Sus scrofa: one gene and its partners. The protein of the gene in region 2 purifies or fractionates together with the protein of the main gene of each other region. This does not show direct contact. Links are inferred from orthologs where the notes say so. Each region holds a gene or a part of one and is shown on either strand. Other genes may lie near its edges.

Region 1 (3,571 bases), on a different chromosome or scaffold from region 2:
TAGTTGGGTTCTTAACCCACTGAGTCATCATGGGAAGTCCCAAGAAAAATTTTTTTTGGCCACACCGATGGCATGTAGAAGTTCCTGGGCCAGGGGCTGAACCTGCCGCACAGGAGCATTCTGAGAAAACTTTTCTTAGGTCTGATTTTGTTAGCTATCACCTTGAATTTCTCAAAAGCATCATTCTAGAAAGAGTTTTCATTTATAAGGATGGGTTTATTAATCTCCAAGTCTATTGTAAGCATCTGCTTTTAAAGTTGTAAAACTCTTAAAGATTTAAAAAAGATTAATTTTCAGAAGGTTTACATGTTACTTCAAGAATTGTCCACAGACTCTATTCTTTACCACATATTAAATATTATGGTAATAATTTCCCCTATCAAAGGTAAGTGTTTCTCATTACTGAAAAGGTTTGCCTTTTATAGCATACTGCACCTTTAAGCATAATACAGAATGCACAGTTATCTGCTCTCAAAAAGGGTATCGTTTCTGTGCAAGAATATTTAAGACCCCAACTGGTTAACAAGTTACAAAGTGTATATAAACACCACATGGTGACCCACTTTTCTTATGTCCTTTGTATTGCTGGGACTTAGCCTTTTTCTTCTGCTTTGATGAACCTGATTGGCTTTCTCTTGATGCTGAAAAATAAAAGGGAAAATTGGTACCAGACAACTCCTTACAAATCTAGATACAACTTAGTTCACCAAGAACATTACGCTTATAAAAGTATACAATGTTTTAAAAATAAGGGTACTTTTTCCTGCAAAACCATGAACTTCAATACCAGAGAGATTCCACTACTTATTCAATAAGTCCTTCAAATACACCAATAACATAAAATTTATTAGCCTGTAATTTTAAACTCATTAAAATAAGTACAGTTTAATTTGGTGAGTGCTCTTGATGTTGTGTTTCTATAGTCATTATGTAACTGACTACTGAGTTCACACTGCCATGGAACACATGGTCTGATTCTGTGATATTGTCGTTGAGTCTTAAGATCTTACCTGGCAACCAATCAGACTTAGGTATATTCTTGTCCTGTGAGCTCACAAGATGATTTATGTGAGATAGTCCTCCGAGAACTGCTGATTTTTACAAAAGGACACCTTTTCTGTATACCAACTTACACTGTGATGCTGGAGGCTGTAGCTGATATCCAGTTAATTGACACCACCCTACAGGATAGAGGTCAGGGGACTCACAGTCTACCCACTGATCATATTCTTCTTCCCATCCATCAAAATGTATCCTCAAGAGACGATGAATAATTCGAGTTACTGTGGCTACACATATTAATCGTGGCTCCATGAGATCTACTGCTTCTAATTTCATTCCTACACGAAATCCGTGATTGGGAACATCCTAACGTGGAGAAGCAAAACATTAACACTGGTGAAAAGAAGAATGTATAATCCGCCATTACTAAGGAAGAAAAAAAAAGAACACAACCAATTGACAATTTAGACCAAAAAATCTGAAATAATTCTTTAATTATTGAAACATATGAGGCTGAAGCATATTAAGCACTACTTAGGAAATGTATTCATTCCTATTTTATTCAGATTAAAAATAAAACAAAATCTGGAAACAACCTTAAAGTCCTATGTAAAGAAAATACTTAGCATTGTTTTACTATTATATGTTCATATTAATCTTAGGAATTCTAGCATAAGGCAAAGACATTCTGACCAACACTGATTTGCATTTGTGAGGCATCATTTAAAATTTACCTTATTAAACAGTTTTACTGGTGCTGCAATGGAGCCAGTTTCCCTGAGGTAGTCAAACCATTTAAAAGGAAGTTTTGTGTAACCTGAAAAACACAACTAGTTTAACTAGCAGTTCTTTTAAAATGAGCATATATTAAAATGCAGATGTAAAGTAATTTAGTATACACTACAATCACAGATTTTGTTATATGACAAGCTCTCTGTTATATGAATCGTGCTCTGATGCTGTAGAGTTTGATAGTTCCTCCTTGTTATATGGATTTTCCTCTTTTCTAGACAGAAACAAGTACCCACTTATTCTAATGCCAAAGTGACTCTCCCCTCCTCACTCTGTAAGAACTACAGACTTCTGCTTTTTCAATCCTAGGATTAGAAGAGCCTAACATTTAACACTTTTCAGTAATATTTTTCTTTCTTTGTAAGAAAGAAAACAGGCTGGGCAAATACTTTTTCTTTTTTTAATAGTCCACTCTTTTGGCTTTTCTCCATTTCTTAAAGAGAAAAAAACCTAAGGCTCAGATACTGAAATTAGGAAAGTCATTGGTTAAACCATAAGAGCTATTTAAGCATATACCTGCTTTTAAAAAGTCACATGGTAATCCAAAGATGAAAACTTGCTTTTCCTCAAAAGCTAAAGTTTTTTTTTTTTTTTTTAAGGGCCACACCCACAGCATATGGAGCTTCCCAGGCTAGGGGTTTAATCAGAGCTACAGCTGCTGGTCTACACCACAGCCACAGCAACTTGGGATCTGAGCCACGCCTGCGACCCACACCACAGCTCACAGCAACACCAGATCCTTAATCCACTAAGTGAGGCCAGGGATTGAACCTGAAACGTCATGGTTCCTAGTAAGACTTGTTTCTACTGTGCCACAACGGAACAGCCTAAAGTATCTATTTTTTTTTTAGGGGCCGCACCCACAGCATATAGAGGTTCGCAGGCTAGGGGTCTAATCAGAGCTGTAGCCACCAGTCTATGCCAGAGCCACAGCAACGCCAGATCCAAGCCACAACTGCGACCTACACAACAGCTCATGGCAATGCCAGATCCTTAACTCACCGATCGAGGCCAGGGATAGAACCTGCAACCTCATGGTTCCTAGTTGGATTTGTTTTCGCTGCGCCACAACAGGGACTCCTAAAGTATGTACTTTTTTTTTTTTTGTCTTTTGTCTTTTGTTGTTGTTGCTATCTCTTGGGCCGCTTCCGAGGCATATGGAGATTCCCAGGCTAGGGGTTGAATCGGAGCTGTAGCCACCGGCCTACGCCAGAGCCACAGCAACTCGGGATCCGAGCCGCGTCTGCAACCTACACCACAGCTCACGGCAACGCCGGATCGTTAACCCACTGAGCAAGGGCAGGGACCGAACCCGCGACCTCATGGTTCCTAGTCGGATTCGTTAACCACTGCGCCACGACGGGAACTCCCTAAAGTATGTATTTTTTAAAAAAAGTTTATGTGTACAACAGACTTTGGAGCCTAAATCACCATCTCAACAGGGCTTGAGAATATTATTTCATATTATAAAATGTATAGATGCTCAGAAAAAGATTCTATACCAATTATACCAATTATTAAAGCTAGTTAGGATACAGTTCGTTATGTTTTCAGAGCACCCAACAGATCTTGTGTGTGTTTATATATATATATACACATATACTCTTATTTTCATACAGCAGGAAATCTAGAGCTGTGGTAAATGTTAACAGGTACCATGTAAAAAGCAAGGATGAAAACTCAGTGTATATATTAGGAAGAAGTACCTCTGGGTGGAGTAAGTTCAATCATGTTAATTTCACAGAAACCAACAGGGAAAATAGAAGGGGAGGTTGCA
Region 2 (4,144 bases):
ACCTGGCAAGAATCCCAACTTAGGGAGTTCCCTTTGTGGCTCAGCGGTTAATGAACCCAACTAGGATCCATGAGGATGCGGGTTTGATCCCTGGCCTCACTCAGTGGGTTAAGGATCCGGCGTTGCCATGAGCTGTGGTATCTAGGTTGCAGATGCAGCTCACACCCGCTGTGGTGTAGGCTGGCAGCTACAGCTCTGATTCGACCCCTAGCCTGGGAACTTCCATACGCCGCAGGTGCAGCCCTAAAAAAAAGCAAATAATAATAATAATGGAATCACAACGTCCAGCCATAACATGGCTCACAGGACGGCCGGCTCTGCTGACCGCGTCTTCCCACCTTGTGGGCACCAGCATGGGAAGCCGGGACTCAGGCTCTGAGTCCACCGGGAGGTGACTGGCTGGCCAGAGCCCACACGGCCAAGGGGCAGCGCTCACCGCTGTGGCTCCAAATGTCTGCTAAGACGCCCGAGCCTGTGCTGGGGCACCCAGAAACCAAGCCCCATCAGTAACCCCACTGCACGGAGGAGGAAGCTTAGGCCTGAAGAGGTCCAGCACCTTGCAGCGCTCACAGAACTAGCAGGTCGCGGAGCCGGAAGAGGACCCGGAAGCCCGACGCGGGAGTCTACACCCGGGAGGTGAAGAGCGCTCGCGCGTTGGGCAAGAGCCCTGGCACCGCGGTGGGCGTGGCCTAGCGGAGAGGGGCGGGGGGAGCCGCGAGGGCGGGGCCGGGCCGGGCCGGGGCGGAGCCGGCGGCCTCCATTGGGTGCTTCTTTGAGTTCGTCACAGGACTGCCAGGCCAGACTCCGCCCAGGCCCCGCCCCTCCGTGGGGGTTAACCCCGCCCCCTCCGGCCTGGGCCCTCCTGCCCTTTAGGCTGAGGCCCGCGGTCAAGGCGCGGGGCCCAGACGCCTCTGCCCCGGCGCGCGGGGGCCGCTCTGTTCCACACTCAGGCCAGAGGTCAGCCAGGGGCTTTTGAAGCCCTTGGAGCCACACTCGCGGGCATTGTCAGTTGCCTGTTCTTTTTCTTCCTAGCAGCTTTACTGAGGTGTAACTTGCAATTCCTCCATTTAAAGCGCACAGTTCTGCGGGGTTTACCCAGAGCTGTGCAGCCATCGCCACAACTTAATTTAGGGCGTTTACATCCTCAGTCCCTCTCATCCTCCTCAGGCTCCGACGGCGCTGCGCTGAGAGACCTGGCCGCCAGGGGGCGCCGCGACCCCGCCCTCAGCTGCGCCTGCGCCGACTCCGCGCGCGAACCCCAGAGCGAGCCCGCCGAGCGCGCGCCCGCCCCGCGAGTGCGCCTGCGCGGAGCCCGTGGCCGCGCCCGCTCCCGCCGGGGGCTCGTCGCTGGGCGGCCGGGCCATGGGGGAGGCCGAGGTGGGCGGCGGTGGCGCGGCGGGCGACAAGGGGCCCGGGGAGGCAGCCACCAGCCCGGCCGAGGAGACGGTCGTGTGGAGCCCCGAGGTGGAGGTGTGCCTCTTCCACGCCATGCTGGGCCACAAGCCCGTCGGTGAGCGGAGCGCCGCGCCGAGGCCGCGCACCCGCGTGGGGGCGGGGCGGCCGGCAACGGCCGGGGGCGCGCGCGGGGCGGGCGGGGCGGGGCCTCCTGCGCCTGCACCCCTGCACACCCTGCCCCCACCTGCTCGCCCCTCCCCGGCCTGCTCCTTGCAGTCCCCTCCCCCGCTCGACTTTGCCCCCTCCCGCCCCCACCCCCCCACGCCGGCCGACCCCTGCCTTCACCTGCACCCCTGCCCCCTTTGCTCCTCCCCCACTGACCCCTACCTCTTCCTCTCCCCCCTTGTACCTGCCACCAACCCCATTCTACCCCCGCGCCCTCCAAGCACTGCCCCCGTCTCCCCCTGCGCCTTCTCCCCTCTCTTCCCCTTGACCCCCACGTCTGTTCTCCAAACTACCTGTCTGCCCCCACGGGCTGACCCTTTCCCCCTGCAGGTGTGAACCGGCACTTCCACATGATCTGTATCCGGGACAAGTTCAGCCAGAACATCGGCCGGCAAGTGCCCTCCAAGGTCATCTGGGACCACCTGAGCACCATGTACGACATGCAGGCACTGGTGAGCTGGCCCCCACCCTCCCCCAGACAGGTGGTGGCCGAGAGCCCCCTCCGTGCGCCTCCCTGCGTCTACACCAGGCCCTGTCCTCAGGGAACTTGACGTCTGGGCTGCCCCGCAGGGGACCAGTTGTTCAACAAGGTAGCTCCGAGCAGTTTTACAGAAAACACAAACCTAGTGACGGTAGCTGGTTATCACATGGCACCTACTTGCAATTGAGGGGTCAGTTAGGACCTGGCCAGGAGACGACTGAGGAGCTGAGGCCTGTGGGAGGGGCTCTGAGGCCATTGTCAGTCTTACAGAAAGTCCCAGAGTGCTGTAGGCAGGGAGGTGGCAGGGTCTGAGTCAGGTTAAGGTGACACTGGTGACTGCTGGTAGAACCAGGCAGGCAGGGACCCGGGCCTCACGGAACCCCCCCTGAGCCATGTCGTTAGCGGGGCAGATGAACTAGGGGAACAGGGTGGCCAAAGAGACCAGTGGCGTTCCCAGCAGAGGAGCGGCAGGTGTCAAGGCTCTGTGGCAGCAGGCGTTGGTGCATCAGAGGACGCAGAGGAGGCCAGGGTGTCTGGAGAGTGGGTGGGAGCCGGGTGGCAGGTGCCCGGTGAGGTGGGAGCCTGTGCTGGGTTAGGGAAGGCTCCATCTCCCCTCACGCCCCCAGGCGAGAATTGGTGCGTGTGGGCAAAGGGGGCAGCAGACCCCCAGCCGTCTGGGTCCAGAAACCTCACTGCCATTCCCTCCCTTTGGCCTTGGGCGTGGCACTCACATCTCGTCCTGGTGTAGGGAGGAGAGAAAGGTGACCACTGTGTCCTGGGACCAGCGCCTGGCCTGCAGTAGGCATTCTAGAAACTCGAGAACTGGCCGCTAAACTACACCAGGCCCACCCAAAGGGCCATGCCTGCTGGTCAGGGCCTTGCCCTCCGTGAGTTCCCGGGTTCCACAGCTTGACTGGGCTCGCATACCTGTCACACTGTGAGGTCACCTGGCCCCCAGGCACGTCCTGAGCCCTGACTGCTGGCTGGACCCAGAGATCAGAGTGGCAGGGTCCCCGACCTGGGGGAGGCAGATGGTTCTTAGGCACGCTGCTGGCCCAGAGGATCCCATGGCTGTGACCCCAGCACAGGGCCCACGTGACACTCAGGGAACTGCAGCGGGGGCACCCAGGGCTTTCAGCCCGGGACAGTGGCCCTTCTCTCTTTTCCTCGCACCCTAGCATGGCTGTGGGGCTGACGTCACGGTCACCTGGGGCCTTGAACCCCACCCGCAAGGTGCCGTGGGCGCAGGAACCCTCGGGTTTTGAAGCTCCTCGATGCCGATCAGCACGTTTACACGCTGACCGCCTGGTGATGAGCACGGCTCCCGAGTGTCTCCTGATCGCCCCCAACCCTGAGTCCCTCCTGCCAGCTAAGCTCTCCCTTCGTCCCATGGGCTGCGTCTCCACCGTCTCTGTCCGGTCCGGCAGGTGCGAGCTGCCAGCCAGGTGGAACACGCTGAGCATCGGCGGTGCCTGCTCCCCTGCACTCACCTGCTTCCCACCCCGGTGGCCCGCCCACATGGGTGAGACGGGAGCCCCATGGCCTTTCTGCAGGGTTGTCACGGCCCTCGGATCGCGTGCTCCCGGAGCCTGCACAGCCGGGCCAGGCCTGCGGGACAGCTGCAGCCTGATTCTGGCCCTGCAGGTGTGCCAGCAGACTGGGCACCCTGGCCCCATCTCAGGTGACAGTCAACCCAGAGTCTTCCCTCTCGTGACTGATGCTGGTGGCTCATGCTGTGGTTTTGCCTTGTCTGGCTCCGTGTGACAAGCCCAGCCCCTCGTAAACCGTAGAAGAGAAAGAAACGGCCTCGGCCCCCTCCACCTGCCCACTGCAGCCTCGAGACCGTTACCTGTGTTTGTTGTTTGCTCCTGAATTTAAAAGTCACGTTTAAGAGCTCCCTGGTAGCTCAGTGGGTTGGGGATCGGGTGTTGTCACTGCAGCGGCTCGGGTTGCTGCTTTGGCTCGGGTTTGATCCCTGGCTCAGGAGCTTGTGTGCGCCACAGATACAGCCATAGAAATCACATTTTCTTCTTTGTTTCTTTA
Region 3 (3,560 bases), on a different chromosome or scaffold from region 2:
CCTGCCTGAGTCCTTCTCTCAGGTGGTCTGACGGGGGCGCCCCTGTACCCCCTCTGCCTCTGTTCTTCCTCTCTGGGGCCCCTCCGACTCCCCGGCCCTCATGTCGCGTAGCCACTCCAGTCTGGGTCTCTCTTCCCTCTGTGCCCGGCCTCCCATCTCTCTGGGTCATCGTCCCGCCTCCGGCCCTGGATCCCTGTCTCCTCTCTGACACCCCCCACAACCGGCAGGTGACACGGGGGAGATCAAGTCAGAAGTCCGAGAGCAGATCAACGCCAAGGTGGCTGAGTGGCGGGAGGAGGGCAAGGCGGAGATCATCCCTGGCGTGAGTACCTGGCCGAGGCCACGGCAGGCGGCCCGCGGGGGTTCGCAGGAGAAGAGGGGGCGCGGGAGGTGGATTTCATGTCCCCCCCCCGATGGCCCCCAGGTGCTGTTTATCGACGAGGTCCACATGCTGGACATCGAGAGCTTCTCCTTCCTCAACCGGGCCCTGGAGAGTGACATGGCACCTGTCCTCATCATGGCCACCAACCGCGGCATCACCCGGTGAGAACGGGCGTGCTGGGTGGCAGGAAGGCCACAGGGTTAAACAGGCCAGGGCTGCGGAGCACCTCGTTGGGGAGCTGCGCTGCTGTAGTGGGCTGCCCTCGGGCGCTGGGGCCCGGGCGGCTGGCGTACTTTCCCTCAAACAAAAGCAGGCGAGCGCTCGGGGCTGGTGGGTGCCCAGCTGCACAGGCGCTCTGGGACCCAGCATGCTCTGTCTTTTCTTGTTCCCAGAGGCCTCAAGGTTACAGATTCCAAACTGTGTGCCCAGGCAGGCACGCGGGGTGCTGCAGAGAACACAGGAGTGCTGTGGGTGTTTTCAAATGTTTGAGGGACACCTCGTGACATGAGTCGGGTGCTCTGTAAACCACTCCAATTAAGTCACTTAGATCCAACTACTTAGGAATAAACAGAACAAAACTTATTCCCCTTGGCCCAAGGATGCTAAGGAAAAATTCCTGACAGAGTTCCCCTTGTGGCTCAACAAGTTAAGAACCCAACTACTATCCATGAGGATGTGGGTTTGATCCCTGGCCTCACTCAGTGGGTTCAGGCCATTAGCTGCAGTGTAGGTCGCAGATGGGGCTCTGAGCTGAGCCCGTGTTGCTATGGAATCTGCTAGAGTTCCTGCTGTGGTGCAGTGGGTTCAGGATCCAGTGTTGTCTCTGCAGCAGCGTGGCTTTGATCCTCAGTCTGGTGCAGTGGGTTAAGGATCCAGAGTTGCTGCAGCTGCAGCTCAAGTTCAGTCCCTGGCCGGGGAACTTCCATATGATTCGGGTGTAGCCAAAAAAAAAAAAAAAAGGAATCTGCTGTTTCCTGGCACCTGCCATGTGCAGCAGGGGACAGGACTGTGCCAGTGGAGCTCTGTGTCAAGCAGAGAAGCGGGACCTTGAGCCGCTAATCCCAGACATAGATCTCTAGCTAAATCCAGCCCAGCTCTAGAGGGGGAGGGATGCAGTCAGGGGCCGGCTGTGCTGTCAGGCGGTGACGCCAGCCGGCCGGGAGCTGAAGGCCAAGCGAGTGGTATTTGACCCAGTGAGTGGGCCATGGCGGAAGGGGTGGGGAGGGCTGTCCGGGTAAGGGGAATGGGGAGCCGGGCTGTTAAGAGCACCACCCTGACCGCCCTCCCTTCCCCCTCCTGCCCAGGATCCGGGGCACCAGCTACCAGAGCCCCCATGGCATCCCCATCGATCTGCTGGACCGACTGCTCATCGTCTCCACCTCCCCCTACAGCGAGAAAGACACAAAGCAGATCCTCCGCATCCGGTGCGGGTGGGGCTGGTGTCCACCCTCTTTGGCCCATGGGGACCCCGAGGTCTGAAGGGGAGGTGGCTGGGCCCGCCAGAAGTCCTGCTGGGCTGGGCATCGAAGCAGTGGCCTCTGAGGAGGTTGTGAGGGTTGGAGAAAGGCGGGGGGGTGTTGGTGACACAGCTGGGGGAGGTGAGGGGGAGCCCAGGAGTGGGAGGGTCCGGAGGCCCACCCCAGGTTTAGGCTCAGCCGGTGCCTCAGCGGCCCTTGGCACTCAGCATCCTGTGCCTCTGAGAGTGAGACTCCACGTGGCCCCAGGAGGTGCAGCAGCGCCCCTTGGGGGAGGGCTCTGCGGCAGAGTCTGCACCCTGGCTGACCGCCGCCCCCGCCATAGGTGCGAGGAGGAGGATGTGGAGATGAGCGAAGACGCCTACACGGTGCTGACCCGCATCGGGCTGGAGACCTCCCTGCGCTACGCCATCCAGCTCATTACAGCCGCCAGCCTGGTGTGCCGCAAGCGCAAGGTCAGCGGCTGAGGGCGCCCTGGGGGCTTGGAGCAGTGAGTGGAGGGCCCGCTGGTCCCAGGGCTTTCCCTGGGCCACAGCCTTTCGTCCTAGGACTTGGGTTTCAGAGGCAGGGAGCTTCCGGTCTCTGCGCTTGGTTGCTGTGTCTCCTGGCCGGACGCCCGGGAGGCGCCGGGAGGCGCCGACTGAATAGCTATTGGCTGCACTCCGATGCCGTGAAGTCCCTTTTACAGATGAGCACACCAGGGGTGGAGAGGTGGGGGCCGTGGCCGGGCGGTGGCCCTGCTGGGATTTGACCCCAGGCGACCTGGCCCCAGAGTCGTTGCTCCCGCCCCGGGGGGGCCCCCCCTCTGAGGTCTGGCACCCCCATCAGGGCACGGAGGTCCAGGTGGACGACATCAAGCGGGTCTACTCGCTCTTTCTGGACGAGTCACGATCCACGCAGTACATGAAGGAGTACCAGGATGCCTTCCTCTTCAACGAGCTCAGTGAGTATCGGCCCCGCCGCCCACCGCCGCCCGCCCGCCGGCCCGCAGAGGGAGGGGAGCCCGGCCTGGAGAGCTCGGGCCCTGCCCTCTGGGCCACACCGACCACCTGGCCTTCCTTCTCCCCACAGAAGGCGAGACCATGGACACCTCCTGAGCCCACGTCACCCTCTCCCCCACCTCCCCTGTTTTCTACCAGAGTTCTGACACCGTGACTTTGTATAAAATGGTTCCGAAACTGGGCCCACTGTGTGGGTGTGGGTGTAGGTGTGTACATACGCACGTGCTCACACGCCCCAGCCCCCAGAATAGACAACCCCAGAGTGCAGGTGGAGCAGCCTTTATTGGTGGGGGGGAGCATCTGTGGGCCTGGGAGGCTGAGGCCGGGAGTCCTTAGAGGAAGAGGAGGCCTGGGAGTAGGGGGCGGTCACAGGCCAAGGGTTGGGCTCTGGGACCCCCACAGTCAGAGCTGCTGAGGCGGCAGGGCCCGCAGTGACAGCTGAGAGCCACGGGGAAGGAGACCGTTGGGTCCACGCCAGGCGGGCAGCCAGGGAGGCGGATGGAGGCAAAGCTCAGCTCTCGGTAGGTGCACACCGGCTGGGGCACGGGTGGCAGGGCAGCCGGCAGCACCCGCACCTGTAGGGGGTGGGGGCGGGGCTTGGGTGTCTACCTGGGGCCCAGCCCTCCCCCAAGGTCCCCCCTCAGTACCCCACAGACCCCAGACTCAGGTGTCCAGGGGACCCTCTGTGTTCTCCCACCCACA
Region 4 (3,571 bases), on a different chromosome or scaffold from region 2:
AAGTATTATTGTTTCCTGTTTACAAGAAATTTTTTGCTTAGAACCATGCTTTAGATTTTGCCTTTAGTGCTGAAGGGGAAAAAAGATTGACTTCCATTGGATGAGATAAAAGGATGACATGGTAACACAGCATTTTTTAATATTCATCATGCAGTACCTTAATGGGACGTAGTTTAGGTGGTGATTAATTTTAAAGAAGCTATATATGAAAGAAAAAAGTAAAACATTGAATCTTTCTCAGGTTTTATTTTTTTGTTTTATAATCCTCCAATGTGAAGCTTGGCTTTGTCTGTGTTCTTTGTAATATAATAGTGCATTATTAAGTCAAGGATGGAAAGCTTGCTTAAGTGCGGTCTGTCTGAACACACACATATATATATAGGATAAGAGGTGGTAGTGCTCTATTTTTAAACAGTTCCATGCCTATTATGAAGTTAATATTCTGTGGCTGTTTGATTGAATGAATATTTTAAATTAGTGATTAACTTAATTTTCTTTTATATGCAAATAGATGCTACTAATTACAACTGAGCCTTCTCTAGCTAATAACTAGGACTTTTCACCTGTGAGTTAGTTCAGGTTATCTCTTATATGTCAAAGAACTTACAGTGAAATTCAGATTTTTCACTAGATCTCTTTTCTGTTCTGTGGTAAGGTGTCACTGCATTGAAGCATGATAATCCTATTCCTTGAGATCCTTTATATCCTACATTCAGTTTTATATCTATTCTACATGAAGTGATGGATAGAGGTTCATTTTGGCTATTTTTCGATAACCTTGATTTGACGGAACTGTTTTGCTTTGTCTTTGGAAAATAACACAATATGAAAAGATTACATTTTCTGATACAGTAGGTTTTGTTTCAGACAGACTTTGAAAAATTTGTTTACATTGGAATTATCCTTTCTATGTCATTCTGTCTTTTCAACAGCTGGCAATATTTTTTTCTGAAGATTTATTGAGATGTTTGATTATACTTTTATTTTCAGAGTTAAATAGGTTCTCTTAATGTAGTTGCTGTTTAGATTTTTTTTTTTAACATTTTGCTTTTATAGAATGAATTTGGGTCTTTCAGTTTTGTTGCATGAAGCTGAAGGGTGGACAGTTGAATTGTTTATTCTTCTAAACTTGTTGTTTTCAATAGAATCGTAAGAATGATGAAGCCTCTTATGAAAAGATGTTGAAACTGAGACGGGAGTTTAGTAGAGCCATAACAATTTTGGAGATGATTAAAAGAAGAGAGAAAACAAAACGAGAATTATTGCACTTAACCTTAGAAGTTGTGGAAAAAAGGTAAACATTGCTGCTATTACATACCAGTAATAGCTTTAGTAAAAATGATGGGCAAAATATAAATCAAATATTTTTGGTTATCAATTTGGGTTGCAAATTTGAGGAATGTATTAGATCTTCTTTTACACTTAATTTTTTGTTCTTGTTGAGAAACCATTGAATTGTATTTAGAAAAGGACTTAGGGATCATTTAGTCCAATCCTCTGTATTAGATTTCTATTAAATAGCATTTGAGGGAAATGAACGTTTAATTGATTTTATTTTCTGATTAGTTAGAAAATATTTGTTTCAGTGCATTTTGATGCATTGAATTCAATGAATTCTCTGATGTAATGATCCTTTTCCTACGTAATTAAATAGACTGTGCTAAACCTAACAAAATTTTGTGTTTCCTAAGGTAAGCCTTCCAAACATCATTCCCCAGTGCTTGAAAATGTAAAATATATGAGAAATCCATCTTCTGTGTACTGTAGAGATTGATGGGGAGGGGTGTGTGGCTTGTTTTATATTTATAAATCCCAAAATATGAGCTTCTTTATTCCTATTAGTTTTCTTTCTGAAGAATAATTTGATTAATGTTGGCTCTATTGGATTAGTTGTGTCATTGAGGAGTTCTTTGGTGGCTCAGCAGGTTAAGGGAACTTTCATATGCTTCGGGTGTGGCCAAAAAAATTTTTCCTTAAGTATAAAATGAAAATGAATAAATAAATAAATATTGGCTTTTCTTTCTCTTTCATTTTCGAAATGTAACGTTTTCTTACATATTATTTCCTTTTCAAGATATCATTTGGGAGACTATGGTGGTGAAATCCTTAATGAAGTGAAGATCAGTAGATCAGAAAAAGAGTTATATGCCACTCCAGCTACTCTTCATAATGGAAATCATCACAAAGTCCAAGAATGTAAAACTAAGGTAAATATTTTCTGAGGGGAAGCATGTATGATAATTTGATCAGGCAGTTGGTTTCTGCAGTTGGCTTATAATAGTTTGGTTAAAGAAGAAATTATTAACATGTATTGAGTTTTTACTTTTTGTCTGGCACTTTGCTAGGATTTGTTATATAACTTGTTGATTTATGAATCCTTATAACAATCCTTTGAGATAGATTTTACCTCTTCATGACTTCCAGATCATATAGCATAAGTGGTAGATTCAAGGTTTGAGTCCAGGTCTAACACCAAAAACCATATGCATTCAGCTGTGCTATCTGCTTCCCTAGAGAATAAGGGTAATTAAAGCTTAGTTACTGTTACTAGTCTTAGCAAGTCCTGCATCATAATGGCAGGTATCAAAATCTAAAATTAAAGCTTTTTTCATTGAGACTGTTGAAAGTTATTTTTATTGTCATCACCATTGCCAGAACCAGCATTTGTCAGTTGCTGTCTATCCTGAGAAAGTCCTATGACGTCTAGATCATGATTTCTTCCTTATAATAAAGAGTCAAATTAGTGATTACTTTAGGTTTTTTTTTTGACTAAAGAATTATATCTATTCATTATTCACTTGGTATATTAAGGTATTCAATTGAAATATACAAAAAGTAATAAAACTTTTAAGAAGCTTTGACTTTAAAAAAAGAAACAGGTATTGACTGAGCATTTAGACAGAGCTCTACTGTGTAGCAAGGTTTAAAAAGTGACTTAGGGTGTTTGTGGAAAATTCATCTTTTAAAAATGTGTACAATCCTCATTTTTCATGGTTCATTCCTAAAGGTCAAGGAAGAATGTGGAGCAGGAAGACTCCTCCATTATTCAACTCATGTCAATTCAAACACCAAAGTTCTTTCTTATTAATCACAGGCATCTAGCCCACCTATCCAGTTCCCTTTAAATCACCCTTGTCTCTGTAGCCATAAACAACACAATAAGTGTCATTTATTTTTTAAAATTCTTTTTTTTTTTTGTCTTTTTACTTTTTCTAGGGCTGCTCCCATGGCTTATGGAGGTTCCCAGGCTAGGGGTCGAATCAGAGCTGTAGCCACCGACCTATGCCAGAGCCACAACAATGTGGTATCCAAGCTGCATCTGCGACCTACACCACAGCTCACAGCAACACCGGATCCTTAACCCACTGAGCAAGGCCAGGGATCCAACCCGCCACCTCATGGTTCCTAGTCGGATACATTAACCACTGCCGCCACGACAGGAACTCCCTAAAAATCCTTTTTATATAAATGCTCTTCCTAGGTATATTGTTGGTAGGCACAGAATATGAAAATCTCAACCCCAGACTACTGACAGAATCAATCTTTATTATATATTGATTTTATTTTGGAT

Evidence for each region.
Region 1: the proteins of MRGBP (region 2) and MBTD1 purify together in Homo sapiens (affinity purification with mass spectrometry; 4 studies listed by BioGRID and IntAct, counting the BioPlex papers as one, with this or other methods). This does not show direct contact. The link is inferred for Sus scrofa from reciprocal best matches to the Homo sapiens genes MRGBP and MBTD1.
Region 3: the proteins of MRGBP (region 2) and RUVBL2 purify together in Homo sapiens (co-immunoprecipitation; 5 studies listed by BioGRID and IntAct, counting the BioPlex papers as one, with this or other methods). This does not show direct contact. The link is inferred for Sus scrofa from reciprocal best matches to the Homo sapiens genes MRGBP and RUVBL2.
Region 4: the proteins of MRGBP (region 2) and EPC2 purify together in Homo sapiens (co-immunoprecipitation; 4 studies listed by BioGRID and IntAct, counting the BioPlex papers as one, with this or other methods). This does not show direct contact. The link is inferred for Sus scrofa from reciprocal best matches to the Homo sapiens genes MRGBP and EPC2.

The regions. Positions count from the first base shown.
Region 1 is NC_010454.4:27,463,781-27,467,351, forward strand, and holds part of MBTD1 (MBT domain-containing protein 1), read right to left. Parts: coding exon 3,501-3,571; intron 1,820-3,500; coding exon 1,737-1,819; intron 1,369-1,736; coding exon 1,134-1,368; exon of another isoform or gene 642-1,133; coding exon 564-641; intron 1-563. UniProt on the Homo sapiens protein: Chromatin reader component of the NuA4 histone acetyltransferase complex, a multiprotein complex involved in transcriptional activation of select genes principally by acetylation of nucleosomal histones H4 and H2A.
Region 2 is NC_010459.5:62,057,104-62,061,247, forward strand, and holds the start of MRGBP (MRG/MORF4L-binding protein), read left to right. Parts: upstream 1-1,297; 5' UTR 1,298-1,362; coding exon 1,363-1,510; intron 1,511-1,950; coding exon 1,951-2,072; intron 2,073-4,144.
Region 3 is NC_010448.4:54,260,453-54,264,012, forward strand, and holds the end of RUVBL2 (ruvB-like 2), read left to right. Parts: intron 1-227; coding exon 228-322; intron 323-424; coding exon 425-543; intron 544-1,686; coding exon 1,687-1,806; intron 1,807-2,182; coding exon 2,183-2,312; intron 2,313-2,685; coding exon 2,686-2,800; intron 2,801-2,928; coding exon 2,929-2,954; 3' UTR 2,955-3,040; downstream 3,041-3,560. UniProt on the Homo sapiens protein: Possesses single-stranded DNA-stimulated ATPase and ATP-dependent DNA helicase (5' to 3') activity; hexamerization is thought to be critical for ATP hydrolysis and adjacent subunits in the ring-like structure contribute to the ATPase activity.
Region 4 is NC_010457.5:3,442,704-3,446,274, reverse strand, and holds part of EPC2 (enhancer of polycomb homolog 2), read left to right. Parts: intron 1-1,145; coding exon 1,146-1,294; intron 1,295-2,074; coding exon 2,075-2,207; intron 2,208-3,571. UniProt on the Homo sapiens protein: May play a role in transcription or DNA repair.